Elephas maximus indicus: one gene and its partner. The protein of the gene in region 2 interacts with the protein of the main gene of each other region in a biochemical or structural test. Links are inferred from orthologs where the notes say so. Each region holds a gene or a part of one and is shown on either strand. Other genes may lie near its edges.

Evidence for each region.
Region 1: the proteins of LATS2 (region 2) and MOB1B form a complex in vitro, tested with the Homo sapiens proteins (2 studies listed by BioGRID). The link is inferred for Elephas maximus indicus from reciprocal best matches to the Homo sapiens genes LATS2 and MOB1B.

Annotation. Positions count from the first base shown.
Region 1 is NC_064823.1:87,055,216-87,065,118, forward strand, and holds the start of MOB1B (MOB kinase activator 1B), read right to left. Parts: upstream 4,119-9,903; 5' UTR 3,820-4,118; coding exon 3,806-3,819; intron 3,280-3,805; exon of another isoform or gene 3,119-3,279; intron 1-3,118. UniProt on the Homo sapiens protein: Activator of LATS1/2 in the Hippo signaling pathway which plays a pivotal role in organ size control and tumor suppression by restricting proliferation and promoting apoptosis.
Region 2 is NC_064841.1:51,614,467-51,623,838, reverse strand, and holds the start of LATS2 (serine/threonine-protein kinase LATS2), read left to right. Parts: upstream 1-5,551; 5' UTR 5,552-5,640; intron 5,641-9,372. UniProt on the Homo sapiens protein: Negative regulator of YAP1 in the Hippo signaling pathway that plays a pivotal role in organ size control and tumor suppression by restricting proliferation and promoting apoptosis.

The DNA of each region.
Region 1 (9,903 bases), on a different chromosome or scaffold from region 2:
AAGACATCAGACACAGAGACATGCACACAGAGTGGCAAACAGATGTCATGAGAAGATTGCCAAGGAACCCAGGAATGCCCAGGGCTACAGACAAACAAGGAATCAACACTATTGAGGCTCTGATTTGGACTTTTAACCTCCAGAACTATGAGAATATAAATTTCTGTTCTCTAAAGCCACCCACTTGTAGTATTTCTGATACAGCAGCACTAGGTAATTAAGACACTCTCTGTACCAGTTTCTTCATCTATAAAATGTGGTTCCTGGTAGTTACTAAACTGAGTTAATTATTTCAAGCACTTAGTGCTTGGCACCTAGTAAGCACTCAGCAAACTATAATTATTATTACGATAACTATTAATTTTTTTTACAGGTGAGGATGCTTAAGTACTAAAACCAAAAACCCATTCCTGTTAAGTTGATTACAACTCACAGCGACCCCATGTGTTACAGAGTAGAACTACTTCATAGGGTTTTCCTGGCTGTAATCTTTACAGGGAAACCCTGGTGGCATAGTGGTTAAGAGCTACAGCTACTAACTACAAGGTTGGCAATTCGAATCTACCAGGCGCTCCTTGGAAACCCGATGGGGCAGTTCTACCGGGTACTATAGGGTCACTCACTATGAGTCAGAATAGCAGATTTGGACTTTTTTGGTAATCTTTACAGAAACAGATCTTCAGGTCTTTTTTCCAGGCTGCCATGGGCGGGGGTGGTGGGGAGGGTAGTTCAAACCACCAGTTTTTAGGTTAGTAGCTAAGCAGTCAAATGGTAACCATTTGTGCCACCCAGAGCTGAAGTACTAAAATCAGTTAAATCATTGCCTGACAACAAAGACAGTACGTATTGTTTGTTTGTGGGTTTGGTTTTTTTTTGCAAGCAAGATTGTATCATGTGCATATCGCAGGTTGTTAATAAGTCTTCCACCAATCCTGATACTGTATTCTTCTTCATAAAGTCCAGCTTCTCAGATTATTCCATGGATTACAACCTCCTAATAAGGAGTCACGGGTTAGTGCAAGCTCTTAAACACGCAAAGCTGCTAACTAAATGTTTCAGGTTCAAGTCCACCCAGAGGTTCCTCAGAAGAAGGACGTGGTTCTACTTCCAAAAAACCAGCCATTGAAAACCTATGGAGAACAGTTCTACTCTGACACACATGGGATCACCATGAGTTGGAATCAACTTGACGGCAACTGGTTTTACCATATATATAATTTACTGATGTTTAGAGTTTATGGTTCCTTACTAGAACTAGGCCAGGTATTTTTGTCTGTTTTATTCATTAATGATAGCCAGTGCCTAGATCAGTGCCTGGCACAATGAATAATTTCAAATTCTTTCCATTTCTTACAGCCCTCATGAGTCACGAATCATCACTTTCTGAACCCTATCTCACATTGCCCTTATTTCCTCTGTTCCATCCACTTAGAGTAGCCTTCTAAGTAGGCTTCCAAGAACTGGAGGAAAATATTTTTACTTAACTCCGAAACTGTAACTCTTCCTTTCTCTACTCATCTTTTAGTATAGAAATAGTATTCAGGAAACTATACCAAATGACAAACAGATAAAATAATCAAAACTTTCCCCTTTCACTTCCAATACTGATCTACACAGTCTTCCCTTTAGATTTTAAGCTACTGGTAGACAAACACTAAATCTAAAAATGTCTGATTAACTTTTTGTATTGTGTAGCACATGGATGGGCTAAATGTCGCGAATACTCTAAATGCTATGTGACCTGACTGAAAAGTTGTGCCTCAAAGAGTGCAAACCCCCTAATGTGCTATATACATCAGTTATGGCAAGATTTTTCTTACATAGCTAATGTGCTTCAGGAAAAAGGGAACTTATCCATGCCATTTCTGAATCTATAAACATCGAGCCATGTAAAAATAGGAACCTATTGTATTTGTATTCAGAAAATAGTACCAGGACCTTCTCCACCCTTTATTTCCAGCCAAATATGGCTCTTCCCAGCTTGGACAAATTTAGCTTATGAGTTCCAAGAGACTCAAGCCCACCAACAGCAGCCACTGACATCATCTACATTACTATTTCCAATACAGTTTTTTAAATCTTGAAAAGAATCAAACATCAGCAATATAAAATTATACTCAAGCTTCAAGCTGAGATGCCTGTACACGTCGATTCAAACTAAAACTGGAAACAAAGACTTCTTTAAAGTCACTCAGTCCTCTCATCTAGCACTATTCCAATCTGACAAACTCAAAATCAACTTCTAGGATGAGCCTAACAAAGGGGTTTCATAAGATTAAACACATTAGGCAGGTTGACACCAGCCAGGGGCCAGGCCCCCTGTGCTTTTTAGAAATATTGGCAAGTCCTGGTGGTCAGCCTTCTGTGACAGCTCAATTTTGCTTACATGCACTAAAAAAAATTTCCAGATTTGTGAAAATTAGTGTGGGTTGAAGTGTCAGGATTCAAATGCCAATTTGATAACTCAATATTACAGGAAGTGGGGGAAAAAAAAAATCGGACCAGAAGGTAATTTTTAAATGCTATTTTCTCCACGACTCTAAAGGAGAGTTTGGGGTGGGTTTCAACCTCCAGATTTTAATGAGTTTTCCAGGCAAAACAAAGCTGTCAAAAGAGGAATTCCTCAGGGTGTAATTCCCTGTTTTAGGATGACTGGAAGCTTGTACTTTGCCTCCATAACTCCATCTGGTCATTCCATCTTACTGCCCTTCCCCTCTCAAATTCCTCTGAAATAAACAATAAGTGAAATAATGACAAGCACTAAATAATGACAAGCACTAAACGTGATGCTAAAGTTGGCCTTTACAAATGACTTGCAAAACAACTCTCCAGTGGACCTAATCAACCTAGGGCACGCTACCCACCAGACAGTATTTGGTGGTTGTCTGAAAGAATAAAAGCCCGTACTCTTCAGGGAAGCACACTGAGAGAAAGGGTGCCTAGGGAAAGCAAAAAGCTGCTCCAGATTCTTGCCCCCAGGACCCCCAGCTGCCATCAGGAGATACTGAGCAGCAAGCAGCCTCACTTCAGTGTTAACATCCACAGGACTTGTCTCCCCAACTTCTCGCCCCCTAAGAACCAAACCCAATCCACTGCCGTCCAGTCGATTCTGACTCACAGCAACTTAGAACTGCCCCCACAGGGTTTCCAAGGCTATAATCTTTATGCAAGCTGACTGCCACATCTTTCTCCCGCGGAGCAGCTGGTAGATTCCAACCGCTGACCTTCTGGTCAGCAGCCGTGCGCGTAACCACTGCGCCACTAGGGCTCCTTTAAGACCTTTAAAAAAAAGGGGGGGGGGGAATTAAAAGAGTCCTGGAGCGACGGGAAAAGTACGAAGCTTTATCTCAGTGCATGACAATCAGAAAAAATTGGCAGCCCGGACGGGCACAGCGGACCCGCAAGCGCTGGATACGGGTCACGCGGAAGAGTGGGAGGTAGCTATGAAGAGCGTACACACAAACAAACCCGGGGATAAGTACGAAGGGAGAGGTTGAGGTGATGGGAGAAACCCGGGAGCAGGGAGAGGCGTGTATCGGGACCTTGGGGTCCGGGGAGCAAAGCCTCGTTAGGGGTTGGAGGAGTCCACGCGCGCTCGAAGAGCGCTGGGCAGGAGGCGACGGTCCGGCAGCGTCAGCGTTCCCGGCAGGTTCCCGGAGCCCTGCTCGGTGGAAACGCCCGCCCGGGCAGCAAGGACCGAGGCGGCCCGCATCCGGCACGGCCGGACCGAGCGGGGCAGCGGGTGCGGGGCCGGCGGCCCAGATCGCGCCCGAACAAAGCCGGGGCTCGGGACCTGGCTACTCACAACAAGAAGCTCATGTCGGCTGCGGCGTGGGCTGCAGGCTCAGCGGTCGCGGGGCCTCGGGGCGGCAGCGGCGGCGGCTGCCAGGGAAGAGGAGAGGCGGGAGGGAGAAGGAGGAGGGGTGCGCCGGCTGCTCCTCGGCAGCAACTTGTTCGGCTTCGCTAGTTCCAATGGCAGGCAGAGGGGGCGGAAGTGGGAAGCGCACGGCTCGAATCTCTCAGTGGGAGGGGAAGGAAAGGTAGGCGGGGCAAGGGCAGCCAGCCAGCTCCTCCGAGAACGCGAAGCTACCGCCGCGCCTCTCCCCCAACCATGCCGCAAGTCCTGCTCCCCAGCCCCCTGCCACCCCCGATTCCGCCAGCTCTCGCGAGAGCGGCGCGCTCCCAACCCGCCCCTCTGGCTGCGGCTAAGGGTGCCCTCACCTCTAGTCACCTTTGCAGCCAGAAACCACGCTTGGCGAGTGCCTCGGGATCCCGGGTTCACTGAGGCCTATCCATCCGGTTGGGGGTCCCGGCAGAACGCTCCGGGCTGCTGTGCTGGGTTTCAGCGGTCAGGGAGGAAGTGGGCTTCAGATCCAGGATGTCAGGGCCTTGCAGTGAGGGGTGGAATTGCCACCAGAGTTCCATCCATCGTGCCCAGCAAGGGACGATGAAAGGTTATGGAAACTCTTTCTCTGCTAGTATTTAAAAATAGGATGGAGTTTCATCTGGTTGAAATGGTTTGGGTGTGGCTCTACCACGGGAGAGGAAAGGGACTAATTTTCAACATCTTGGTCGTTTTGTAGGTATATTTTAAAACCCTGAACTAGGAGGAGGTCAAGGTCCATCATCACTGTCTGAACTGGCAAGCTAGACTGTCTTCAAAACTGGGAAAACTGAAGGCGCCAAGGGGGAGAGCTGAGGCCAGTTCATCATGGGTCCCAGCGTGGTAGGCTGATCAGCAATGGCAATAATGATTACGCATGTATGGGCTGACGTCAGTTACAACCGCTGGACACTCATGCACAAAACGTTGTAGAGGCGAGAAAGCACCAGAAAGCACCAGTCCCCCTTACGGAGAGCCTTTCATTCTCACATGGTTAAGGGGCATGGGGCAAATCTTTATATATTTAAGAATGGCCCACATTCCTTGAACGAGTCACCATAGCATTATCAATTGCTAGGAAAATATGTTGTTGTTAGCCGTTGAGTCGGTTCAGTCTCATAGTGACCCTATGTACAACAGAAGGAAACCCTGCCCTGAGGAATCCTCACAATTGTTATGCTTCAGCCCATTGCTGCAGCCACTGTGTCAATCCATCTATTGAGGGTCGTTTTCATTTTCACTGACCCTCCACTTTACCAAGCATAATGTCCTTCTCCAGGGACTGATCCCTCCTGATAACATGTCCAAAGTATGTGAGTACATACTCTCACTATCCTTGCTTCTAAGGAGCATTTTGGCTGTACTTCTTCCAAGACAGATTTTTTCCGGGGGGGGGGGGGGGGCTGGGAGGGTGGAGGGTGGGAGGTGTGGGGGGAGTATTTTACACAAGAAGTGTCCCTGTTCTTTACTCACAACATCATCAAATCTACAAGTAAGCTTTCAAAGAACCAGGACAAAAATTAGTGTTCAGATATTTGGAGCCCTGGTGGTGCAGTGGTTAAGAGCTACGGTGAGCTATGTCTGCTAACCAAAAGGCTGGGCAGTTCAAATCTTCCATCTGCTCCTTGGAAACTTTTTGGGGCCGTTCCACCCTGTCGAGTAGGGTCACTATGAGTCAGAATTGACTGGATGACAACGGGTTTAGTTTTTTTGGTTTTTGGCATATCATCACAAAGGGCATAGTAGATTTCAAGGGGGTGCAAATTTGAAATTTATTTGATTGGCAATGCACCTCGTGTGCAATCACCAGCCATCTGTCAGTGGAGGCTTCCATGTTGTTGTGATCCTGAACAGATTTCAGCAGAGCTTCCAAATTAAGATGGATTAAGAAGAAAGGCATTGCTATCTACTTCTGAAAGTCAGCCAATGAAAACCCTGTGGATCATAATGGTCAAATCCACAAATGATCATAGGTTTGCCACAGGGCAGAGCGGTGTATCCTTCCACTGTGCATGTGGTTCCCGTGAGTCAGGGGCTGACTCCACGGCAGCTAACAACATTGTGCATTATTAGCTTGGCACTTGGTAAGGCAAGACATTAAAAAATATATAAAATATTGGAATCTTGACACTTACCTAAGGACCGGCAGAGGGTTACTGGAATATTTTGGGAAGACTTCAAGACTCAAAAGATGCAGAAAACAAGGGAAGAGAAGAAGGATTTATCTTAATATGATGAATGTAATGGATTTTTGATATATAAGCCCTCAGTTCTGGATCTTGATATGAAAACTAGCATGCTATATAATTCCTTATGGTTCTTTTGAAGACTTGAATTACCAGAATTCTCAGAAATTATTTGAGAAGAGCAAATCAATTAATCTGTCAGAACCTCAGTTCTACCTCCTTTAAAACGAAGGCATCAGATTATTACATGATCTGTAAAATATCTTCCAGTTCTAAAATTTTGTCATGCCAGGGGCATTCTTCAAATGACTGGCACACAATGCCCAACTCTTCCCTGATTTGATAGGCTGGCTTAAGTAACCTAACTTTTTGTCTGACACAGCTTAGGTGACTCCTATGACACTGAATCAGGAGAAAGATTGGCAGAGGAGAGAATCTGCAAAAACACCTGCTAAGAAGAGTTGTCTGGATTTAACAGCTGACATATATATATATATATATATACACACACCAAACCCACTGCCACTGAGTGACTTCCAACTCATAGCGACCCTACAGGACAGAGTAGAACTGCCCCATCTGGTTTCCAAGGAGCGCCTGGTGGATTTAAACTGCCAACCATTTGGTTAGCACTGTAGCTCTTAACCACTATGTCAAAAGGGTTTCCATATGTATATATAGATGGATGGATGGATGGAAATACATACAAAAAATATATATACATGTATATAAATGTGTGTATATATATATATATATAGAAACCCTGGTGGCGTAGTGGTTAAGTGCTACAGCTGCTAACCAAAGGGTCGGCAGTTCGAATCCACCAGGCGCTCCTTGGAAACTCTATGGGGAAGTTCTACTCTGTCCTATAGGGTCGCTATGAGTCAGAATCGACTCGACGGTACTGGGTTAGGTTACACACATTTTTCCTCTCTGTCAAGGTTAAGATTTCTACCACCTTAAAGAAGATGATAGTACTTTTGTTCAGATAAATTAATCACTTCCTAGGTACTGATTAATACGTGACCTTTCCTGAATGAAGTAATACTAGTTATAGCCAGTCAATAAGGGGAAATTTCTCCTTATAGAAGTATTTCAGATTAAAAAATGAAGTAGAAACGATTGAATTATTATTTAGACTTTTGCAACCTAATAGATTAATAGATCTAGGCATTGATCAACAGCTGCTAATATCATAGTAAGAGCAAGGACCAGACTTTATGTACCTCCTGATGAAGGAGTACATAAGCACCTATGAAGAAGTCTTGCACACAAAAAAATAGAACCCGATGAAGCCTTTAGATCCAGTTACAGAAAACAGAAGAATGTGTAAGAAAGCATGTTAAGTGACACCACATGGATTCAATCAGCAAAATCTAAACTGTGAGGAAACTATCCAAGGCCTGATTTCTTCAGCAAACGAATTGCAAGGAAAAAATAGAACTGGAAGAAAAACCTAGAGATTGAAAGAGACATAGGAGACATATCAACCAATTGCAATGTGTGAACCTCATTTGGATCCTGATTCAAACAAGCAGCCTGAAAAACAACCATAAATGTTTATGTCATTTATGATATAACTGGAAATTTGAACACTGATTGGATATTTGATAACAATAAGGATTTTTTGTGAATTGTGGTAATGATGTGGTTGTGTTTTTTCTTAAAAGAGACTTTATGTTTTAGAAATATGTACCAAAATGATTTAGAGATGAAATAATTATGTCAGATTTGCTTTAAAATAACATGGGAGAGGGAAATGGACAGAAGTATAGACGAAACAAGACTGGCCGCAAGTTGATAACTGTTGAAGCCAGATGATGAGTATGGAGGCTGGGGGTAGCCACGGTACCGTTCTATTTTTGTTTAGTTTTTAAATCTTCTGTAATAAATAGACAAACAAAAATGGGTCTCCTTTTGAAAAGGCCTAGAAAAAGTGCTAAAATTGATGGGCTTTAAGAAGAGCTGATATGGAAGATAACGTTTTGGACTAGAGGGTTCTTTCCTTGTGCTCACATTATGCAGCTTATTTTGTTGTTGTAAAGATTTACCAATTCAAGGTTTTTCACGTGTACAATTTAGAAACAATAATTACATTAATCACCTTGCGCAACTGTCACCAATACCTGTTGAGGCAGATTTTTCTGTCTAATATATAAAGATGTTCTTTCACCTGTAAGGCTAAAACAGATGTTATCGATGCTAGAGCGGAGAAATGCTGAGTTCAAACCCTGTGCCTTAGTACGTGCATTAGTATTTCTTAAGCAGCTGTGATCTGACTCTGGAAGAATAGATTCCTGAACAACAAATGCTAGAAAAGCTATACCTGGGCAACAAATCCTTAGTGACTCAGTGAAGTGTACTCTGTTGTGTAGGAGTGTTTTGATTGTATAATACTTAAATTGACATGCTAAGTATTTCACCTAATTGGTTCAACTACATAAGATTGTTTTTATGTGTGTTTTTATAGCTACCATTTATTGACTTTCTTATGGGACAATCACTCTGCTAAACTTCTTCTATTTTATGTTTATTTCATTTTTTCCTTACACTGTCCCATGAGGTTGGTATTAGGTATTACAGTAAGTCCCTGGGTTATAAAAGTCCAAGTTAAGGACAACTTCTTGTACTTACCCTTTAAAAAAAAAAAAAAAATTTTTTTAATGTAAATTTGTCCTCACTTTAAAACAATTGAACCAACCCCTACTCACAGCAAATTCATCACAATCACCTTTACTTGCTGTAAGTGCGGCTTTTAAATCATTGGAAAGGCTTTGAGCTTTTTCTTGCGCTAAAACCAAAAAAAACCAAACCCATTGCCTTTGAGTCGATTGCGATTTCTTGCACTAAAAAACAAACCCACTGTCTTCGAGTAGATTCTGACTCATAGCGACCCTATAGGACAGAGTAGAACTGCCCCATAGAGTTTCCAAGGAGCGCCTGGTGGATTTGAACTGCTGACTTTTTGGTTAGCAGCTGTTGCCCTTAACAATTAAGCCACCAGGGATTCCTCTTACATTAAAGTAAAGTTAAATAATAACTGTATCTACCTGTTCTGACTTACCTACAAATTATTGAAGACACACGCAGGAACGGATCTCCTTCCTATTCCAGGGAGTGCCTGTATTTCCCCCATTTTATAGATAAGGAAACCAATGCTGAGAGGTTAAGTAACTTGCTCGAGATCACACAGCTAGTAAATATAATCTTAATTCAGGAAAATCAGTTTTCCCTTCCAAGATGGCCTAAATTAGCCTGGATATATTCTAAGTGAATTTTGGCATGCTACACAATCCCACTTAACACAGCTAATAATTCAGCCTGACTCTATCAATGCTCTGTAGGTTTTAATTCTATGTCATTTGTACATAAAAACTTCTCAAGGACATATTCATTTGATACAACAGAAAAGTGTGGAAACATGAAAGGTTGGTTTAATGAAGGCTGGCATCTTTCAGTGCATTCATTTTTCACTAAAACTCATAAACCTTCTTAGGGGAAGTGAGCACAACTTGACCAAGGCAAAGTCATAGAAGCTTCCTGACACATCCAAACACCTTGATGGACTGAGTTACCGGCCTGAGGGCTGGGGACCGTGGTCTTGGGGGACATCTAGGTTGACTGGAATAACATAGTTCATAAAGACAATGTTCTATGTCCTACTTTTGTGAGTAGATTCTAGGGTCTTAAAAGCCTAGAATCTAAGAGGCCATCTAGGATACATCCATTGGTCTCATACTGTCTAGAGCAAAAGAGAATGAAGAACACCAAGGACGCAAGGAAAATATCACATAAACCACAGCCTCCACCAGCCTAAGCCCAGAAGAACTAGAT
Region 2 (9,372 bases):
TAGAACTTCTTCATAGAGTTTTCAAGGCTGGGACTTTTTGGAAGCAGATTGCCAGGCTTGTCTTTCGAGGCATCTCTGGGTGGGTTCAAACCACCAACCTTTCAGCTAGTAGTTGAATGTGTAACTGTTTGCACCACCCAGAGCACTAGTTTTTTTTTTTTTTCTCTTTTCCTTTTGGTGAAAACATATAAAACAAAATATTCACCAATTCAACTTCTATGTATAGATTTCAGTGACTTGGTTACATTCTTCATGTTGTGTAACACTATCACTATTCTTCACCAACTTATTTCACCACAATTAACATAAAGCAGTAGAGGTTTTCACCACATTTTTCAGGCAGTTCTGATTTCCAAAATAGCTAAATGTAAGGCAATTAGAAATAAATTAAAATTAGAGAAAAGTTTACTCTCATGATTTTAATACTGGACAGCACATGTAAAAATGTAATACTGGACTTTTCCTCTGGTATCTAAATCATTTTTATTATGCTAAAAAAAGTTTTGTCATTGAGACAGAGCCCCAACTAATGGGGGTGATATTGTTAACTCTTCTCTGCAAGTCCTGTAAGTATGCACAACCCACAACTCTAAAGAACAAAGGAACAGACTATCTCCCTGGCTGGCCCAGAGTAGCTTGATTAAAAAAATATGGTGGTATTACGAATTTTTATATTTAAGATATCAAAGTATCCTTTAAAAATTCATTCAATATATTCAATTTAGCAATTAAGAGGCTATACAGTTTTGGGGGAGAATATAGTCCTGTTCTTGAAGAATTTATAATCTAGTTAGAGACAAATTATATGGGTATAAAACACCCCCAAAACAAATTAAATCAGTGTAGGATATTATTTTCTTGGCTTTCTAGGGCTTTCATAATCCAACTCTACTTTTTCACTACTCGTCCTGGAGAATATTCTTCTGTAACTAGGCAGATCTGCTAAGTCTCCTCCATACTGGTTATAAATAAGGATGCCTCTCCCTGCCCCCAAACCAAAAATTGTATCTAAAAACCAGTCCCTGCTTTCCATGTACTGAAGTATAAAGAGGCTGAGTTGATAATTAAGTTTCTTACATTCATAGCCCAGGGGCGGCGGGGAAGGAGCAGGCAGTGGGTAGGTGGTTTCAGGGGGATATTCCAGAGGGGCCTCAGGGAGAAGCCTGAACTGTTTTGGAGCCACAACTGTAGGTGCCTCACTTGTGACTGTGACCGGATCCCTCGGCTGTGCCCGTCCCCAGCCTCTCTCTGCCCTAGTAGGTGCTGGAGACAGGCATCTTAGAGCACCCCTCCACCTCACTCTACAAAGGCCGTTCCTCTTTCCTCAGACAGATAAAACTCGTTGCCATCGAGTCAATTCCGACTCATAGTGACTCAATAGGACAGAGTGGAACTGCCCGTAGGGTTTCCAAGGAGCAGCTGGTGGATTTGAGCTGCCAACCTTTTGGTTAGCAGCTGACCTTTTTTTCTTGTTTATTGTACTTTAGATGAAGGTTTACAGAACAAACTAGTTTCTCAGGAAAGTTAGTACACATATTGTTTTATGACATTGGTTAACAACCCCATGACATGTCAACACTCTCCCTTCTTGACCTTGGTTCCCTATTACCAGCTTTCCTGTCCCCTCCTGCCTTCAAGTCCCTGCCCCTGGGCTGTTGTGCCCCTTTAATCTTGTTTTGTTTTATAGCCCTGTCTAATCTTTGGCTGAAGGGTGAACCTTGGGAGTGGCTTCATTATTGAGCTGAAAGGGTGTCCAGGGGCCATACTTTCAGGGTTTCTCCAGTCTCCATCAGGCCAGCAAGACGGGTCTTTCTTTTTGAGTTAGAATTTTCTCCAGCTCTGTCTGGGATCCTCTATTCTGATCCCTGTCAGAGCAGTCAGTGGTGGTAGCCAGGCAGCACCTAGTAGTACTGGCCTCAGTCTGGTGGAGGCCGTAGCAGCTGTGGTCCATTAGTTCTTTGGACTAAACTTTCCCTTGTATGTTTAGTTTTCTTATCTCTCCCTTGCTCCCAAAGGGGTGAGACCAGTGGAGTATCCTAGATGGCCACTCAGGCTTTTAAGACCCCAGACACTACTCACCCAAGTAGAACACAGAACATTTTCTTTATAAACTATGTTATACCAGTTGAGCTAGATGTTCCCCGAGACCACGGAAGCAGCTGACCTTTTAACTACTGTGCCACCAGGGCTCATAGGAGGGGGTTAATTTGGTTTCAGTTTCCTTATTTATAAGCACACTGTAATCATATCTTTTTGAGATCACCTTGAAAAGAGCCTTCCTTCTACTAGTGTTTCCGAGCTCTGGAGTTTGATGACCAAGGTTTGAATCCCATCTCTTTGATCTTGGGCAAGTGACTTGGGCTCTGTGTTTCAGGGTCCTCTTCTGTAACCAAAACTAAACCCATTACCACCAAGTCAATTCCGACTCACAGCGATCCTACAGAGTTTCCAAGGAGTGCCTCGTAGATCTGAACTGCTGACCTTTTTAGCAGCCATAACTCATAACCACTATGCCACCAGTTTCCTCTTCTATAACATGAGGCTAATAACATGGTTGTCTTGAGAATTAAATGAGATAACACGTAAGTTTAGACCAATGCCTAAGATATTATATAGACTTTGGCTTTGAAATTTGTGTAGGCTCTGTGCTCAGTTGGCCTTGTGGTCATTAAACCATGAGGGTCTCTCTCTCCTTTTCCTATTTCTCAGCTGGATATATTTATGGATGTACTTATTTAGCTGATTATTTAATTAAAAATTTTTTTTTTGTTAAATATCCTGTTGTAATCAGGAATTATAAGACAATCACCCAGAATCACTACATCCGGAGCTACTATATCTAACATTCGTCTGTATACTTTTCTGGACTTAAATGTATATATACGTATACACACACATACATATATATAATCGTTATACAAGATTAGATACTGCACTCGATTTTGTCACATGCTTTTTCCTTGAGCACATCTACTACACTGTAAGTTCCACCAGGGGACAAATCATGAGGTTTTGTTCACCAGTGCAGGCTCACAGCAGGACTCAGAAAAAACCAAGGAATGAATGTCTCCACTTCAATAATCACACATCCACAAAATGATGAATCACAACATTTTCCCATATAGGTGTAGAATAGCTTCCGCAACCAGTTTTCTATCTTGGAAATTGACTTGTTTCCAATTTGTCTCTAGTTTCTAGCCATCTGTATTTTTGAAAAAAAAAAAAAAATTTAAATGTTAAAAAAAAGCACAAAGTATTTATTTATTTATTTTTAATATAGCACATATTAGTGAGCCCACCACCCAGAATCAACAAATTTTAAGGTTTTTTCCTGGTTAGCTTCATATTTAAAAAAAAAAAAAAGCTATGAAGAATTGCAGATAAAATTGAAGTCCCTATTTTTCTCTCCCCACTTCCATTTCCCTCCCTCCCTCTGAAGAGAAAACAGCTGTCATAAATTCGGTGTGTACTCCTGCAGTTCATGTCTATATTTACATAAAGTGTATGTAGACTGTAGATTCTGTGGGATTTTTTATTTATAAATGTGGTACAATAGTGTATATAAAGTTTTGCTACTTTTGTTTCACTCCATAACTGGTTTTGTATTCTATCCACGATCATTTATTCTTTGACAAACAGAGGGCTAGTCCATTCACTTAGCTACTGTATATGTTCCATCATTTGAATACCCACCCTTTATTTTCTGGCTCCCCTACTGTTGGATGGAAACCCTGGTGGCTTAGTGGTTAAGTGCTACTGCTGCTAACCAAGAGGTCAACAGTTCGAATCCGCCAGGCGCTCCTTGGAAACTCTATGAGGCAGTTCTCCATCCTATAGGGTTGCTATGAGTTGTAATCAATCACTCGATGGCAGTGGGTTGGTTTTGGTTTTTCTATTGTTGGAAATTTGCATTGTTGCCTATTTTTCACTATTGCAAACAATGCTATAATGGTCACCGTAATTGCAAATTTTTTTACAGGATATTTTACATGCAGATTTAAGAGTCAGTTAAATTCCTTTTACTTTACATTATTTCATTTGATGAAAGGTTTTTTTTTTTTAATTTTTTATTAAATTATGTTTACCCCTCTGAAAACAGAGCAGGGGCAGGCCCTTTAAACAGTGGGAACCAGGCAGCCAGTCTGTGGGTTGGGATTGGGGTGGAGTATGATCAGGGTATGAGTGAAAAGACAGAGATAATATTCTTGGTGAACACCAACCCACCAACCAACCCACCAAAACCCCTAAGCCGTTGCCATGGGATAATTCTGACTCATAGCGACCATATAAGACAGGAAGAACTGCCCCACAGGGTTTTCAAGGAGCGGCTGGTGGATTCGAGCTGTTGGTGGACTAGAACAGGCGACCTTTTTGGTTAGCGGCCTGAGCTCTTAATAACCGCGCCACCAGAGCTTACATTGGAAACATTTGTTTCCAATGCTGGGCAGGATCCGCGGGTAAAGTACAGTATGAGGTTAAAAAATGAAATTGAATTCTAAGCTGCATGATGATGACTTAACACATCAGAGCTCAAACAGAGAAACCAGGAGGCGGCTCTGAGGAGATTCCCTAAAGAGCTAAGGCCATAAAGCCCGGTAGGATTAAAAAGAGTAAAAGCTGGGAGAATGGAGAACAAGTACCTGAAGGCTCGTGAGGATGTTAAAATAGTTCAGAGATAATAACCTTCATTACTGTTTCTCTGGAGATTAAAATTTAAAAACCTCATAAGAGTTTATTACAGAGAAAACTGGGTTGCCTTTTAAAAGTATATTAGCCCTCACCATCACTTTCACCACTGCAGGTGGTGGGAGGTGTGCTAGGAGGTGAAGGCGCATCAGAAATGGATTCCGAATCTGACTTCCAGCCTTACTTCCACAGCGCCTCGACGCAACCCTGCGTTGTGTCCTGTCCCAAACCCACGGCCATAACGGTCCCAGTGCGCATCCACCCTCTCACTTGTTGGTGAATGTCACTGTGCTGCTCTGCATGCCGTAAACACGTCTCACAAACAGAATGCAAAAGCTCGGGGAGTGATGGGGTCTGCCTGTATGAAGGCACCCGGCAGCCGTCCTCCTCTAGTCCTCGGTTCCATGGTCCTATCAGCTCTCTGTCCCTTCCTGCTCTGATCTGAGAGGCTGGCGCCTTCTTGCTCCCTCCGCCGCTCATTCAGGCCTGTTAACTCACTTGCTTCGCCGAGCAGGGCGTTGGGAGCCTGGAAAGCCGCGGCACTCACGGCACTGGGTGACTGCGAACCTCGGCAATGGAGGGCCCGGCAGGAGGGCGGACGGGCGGGGGCAGGAAGGGCGAGGGCGGCCCGGACGGGCGTCCGTCCATCTGTCCGTCGGTCGGAGCGCGCCGGGCCAGGCCCCGCCCGGCTGGTATGCGGCCGGGAGTGACGCGGGCGGCGGCTCACGTGACTCCCGTGGAATGCCAACAATGTAGCGAATGTCCCACTTGGGGTGCGCTCTGGAGCCCGGCGCTAGCGCCCGACGATGGAGCCGCCGCCGCCCGCGCCGCCCGTGGAGCCCCCTTCGCCGCGGGGCCCGCAGCGGCCCCGGCCTCGGGTGCCCCGCCGCTCGGCCCGCGAGGCCACAGAGCCGAGAGTGGGGGCCGCCCCGCGAGCCTAGACCGCGCCCGGAGGTGAGAGACGCCGGGGGCGGGCGGCGGCCGGCGGGCTAAGGGCCGCCCGTGGAAAGTTGGCCGCGGGCTCCTCCGCACCCTCCGCCGCGGCTGGGGTTCCGGGGACGGCCTGACCGAGGGGCGGGAGTGAGAGCGAAGGGACTCTCCCCGGACCGAGGTCACCCTCCGCCCTGGCCCGCGTAGCCCGGCCTGGGCGAAGGCGTCGGGGAGCCGCCCCGGCTGGCGGCGCGCGTGGGGGCTCCGGGCCGCGAGCAGCGGAAGTTTGGGCAAGTTGGCGGGCCGGGCCGGAGCTTGTACGGCGGCTGCGGCGGCGGCCCGGTGCGCGGCGCTTTGTTGTGCGCCGGCCCGCCGCTGGGCCGGCCGGTCCCGGGAGCAGTCGTGACAGCGCGCCGATCCCCGCGCGCCCCCAGGCCGCGGCCCCGGACGGGTAGGGTGAGGGGCGGGCGCCGGCGCGGGCGCGCTCTGGATTTTCTCAGCCAGCGCCTAGAGTTCGTAGGACCCGGTCCGAGTTTCGGGAACACTTTGGGGCGGTGAAAGTGGTGGCAGTTGCATAACACGCCTTTCCTGCGTCCCGGCTGAGTCGACTTTTCTGGGACTCGACTTCTCTAATGCAAATCACATGCAGTCAGCTAGCTTCCCGGCCACGCTCTGGAGATGCGGGCTCGGCTGTGATTCATATTTTTGTCAGTCACTTTCTGTCGTTCCTGACTTTGAAAACTTAAGGAAGAGCATCTCCGTGGGGGATGAGATCCGGACAGCGGGGCTGGGCAGGAGTGCCTCGCTGGAGCAAACCTCGGTCTGTTGACTCGGTCGCCTGTGCGCATGGGGCGGGCGGAGGCAGACAGAAGAACACACCTTCCGGCACCTTGTGACCCGGTTTGGTGAGCGACAGCTTCCCGAAAACATGGCGAGGAGAACGTAAGGCCGGGGACGGGTCTTGAGGCCCTCGAGTGGGAAGTATTCTTTTGCAAACATAACCGTGAACGTACACTATACTTGTATATTTTGTTATACTCACCAAAAAAAGAAAATTTTTCACATTTTTGTAGGATAAATGAGTGTTCTTAACATACTTATTGTCTAGGCTTTTTGAAATTATTTAGCGTTAATTATTTTATTAAGCTAGGGAGAATACATTTGGCAGGTGGAAATTAAAATTAATAGCAGGACAGCTCTCTTCACAAAGTATTCAGCAAATAGGCACACTTTTTAGGAAAGTTTCTGAGCACATTTTACTAAGAAACTTGAATACACTGAAATCTGAATGGAGAGTCACAAAGTGTGTGTGATCTGAGTACAGGTGTTCTGGTTAAAATTTTAATTTAGTAGATGAGGGGTCTTTCCTTAGTAATGGAGAAAGTAGCTTGTGTCTGGCTTATTGGGATGTTTGTGCTAAATAGATCTTGCTCTGTGTTTTCAGTTTAATCTCTGCATAAGCGTCAGCATGATGGATCACCATTCTTAATCAAGAGACTAAGCTTCATTGTATCTTTTAAGTTTTTTCTTCAGGGACTGCTGTAATGAGTTAGTACCAGATAAATCTTCCAAAATAAGAATGCAGAGACTGTTAAAGTCTGTTTTAAATTAACAATAATTAACAAGATACAATGTTCAGTCTCATAAAATTTTGTTTCATTATCCAGGCCTATGGAGCACTGTTTAATGACTGTGCCAGCATGCCTTTGAAATTAAACTGCTGAACGTTTAATAAATCTGAAAATGTCCAGCAATTTTGAAATGATGTTTGAGTGGAGGATATCATGCAAAATTATTAAGGTGAATTATTAGAGTCATAGATTTTAAAACTGAAAGGGATTCCTTTAGCCTCTTCAACTAGTTTGAAATGGTTTTAACTTAAGTGGGAATTGAAATTGTACATATTTCTTAGCAAATCAAGGGGTTGGTGGGAGGGCCTTTCCTTTGGTGGGAGGGGAATGCTTTTACAATAGGATGCCTTGTTATTTTAAATGCTGAGTTGTGAATAGCCAGCCTTGGGTCCCATAGAGGGCAAGAGGAAGCTGATAAATTCACTGTAAACACACAGAAAGTGGAATAGGGTTTTGGGAAGCTTTTGGGAGTGGTGGTGGAATGTTCTGTGTTGTATTAGAAAAACCAGACCAACTCAGTTTTTGAAAAGCTGCTTTTATATTTTATTTCACAGTAATAATAATGTGAAACTTCTGACTAATAGATACCTTATTGACTTTTTAAATAGTGGGTTTGTAAAAATACAGAGGATAAGTTTACTTTGTCTTGACTGTAAATCTTAAAAAAAAAAGGAGCAAAATATTCTCATCCATGGTCTGAAAAGATTGCACTTGATAATAGAAGAATTTGGTCTCCTTCATCTTTTTTTTTTTCTTTTTAAAAAATCTGTTGACTCCATGACAACTAACAACAACAACGTTGATTAGTAAATTGTCTGGATAGAGCTGGGCAGGCAAATTGTACAACTCCAGGGGGCACCGTTCCCATTGAATGCTAAGTAAATGGTGCTTTGTGTAATGGGGTCCATTTACATGGAGTACCATGTGAATGGTGTCTTTTGTGAAGATTTCATTTAGTGTTAGTTGTTTTTCCGGTATTTTTAAGGGTATTTGATATACAGTGTCATTTTGGAAGTATCAGTAAAACAAGATAATGTTGAAAATAAAGATATTGGTTATGATGCTAAAATTAGGATGGAAATTTAGCATTCCTTAATGTTTACCGTTTACCATATGAAGACTTTGTGTTGGTTACTATCTAGAACAAGTCAGCTGAATTATGACCAGTGTTTTTTTTTTTAGTTTATTAAAAAGAATATTAAAAGACGATACTCTTTTTGTTCATATGTCAGTATTTGACAGGAATTTTTCTGGAGGAAAAGTGAAAAATCTCCTATTTTGTAGCTGTGGTTTGTATTTATTAATGCTGATTGTGAAGATATTGAGGCATAATGCAAGTCTCATAGCCCCAAAATCAGGATGGTAAGGATCTTAACAATGTAAGTTGGAATTTGAATGGAGGGGGCCTCTGGAGTATTGGGCCTCACTGCCTCCAGGCAGTTATCTTGAATAGGAATGCTAAGGACCAACACATTCTTTTACTAATTTACTGCATAGTACCTCACTAGCCTCAAGTCTATTTTTTCAGTAAATGTATCCAGTAACACCTGCACCTCCTCAACATTGCTGCTCATCTTTCTTTTCTATGTGTAAGCCTTTTCACAGGAAGTTCTAGACTCCAAGAATAGCTTCATACTTCGTCCATCAAATCGTAGCCTTTCCAATATTGGTGAAACTTTCCTTTCTTGAGGAGGCTTTCTCCACATAATTTGAACACCTGCCTGAAGCATTGTTCCTCCATAGCGATAGACACATACACTGGGATCTTTGGGCAGCAGCAGTATTACCTTTCCTTAGGGCAGTGATTCTGAAATGGCCTGGGAGTCATACTCCTTAGTATGCGATAGCTGAAACTTGGGAGGGGGCTGGGTGCAGAGGAGGCAGCGCTTTCTCAAAGATTGAGAATCCCTGTTGGAGTATGGAATTGAATATAAGGAGACTCATCCTGTTCAGTTGTTTGCTGTTTTGCTTTTTTAACTAGAAATGCCAGAAAGAACTGACAAATTTATCAGTAACCTGGTCGCTCCATTTGGATATCTTGAGTGCAGACTTCTGTGGCTTCTTTTTGTTATGCCATTATTCATATTTGTGTACAAATATATTGCATGAATAACATGTACAAAGC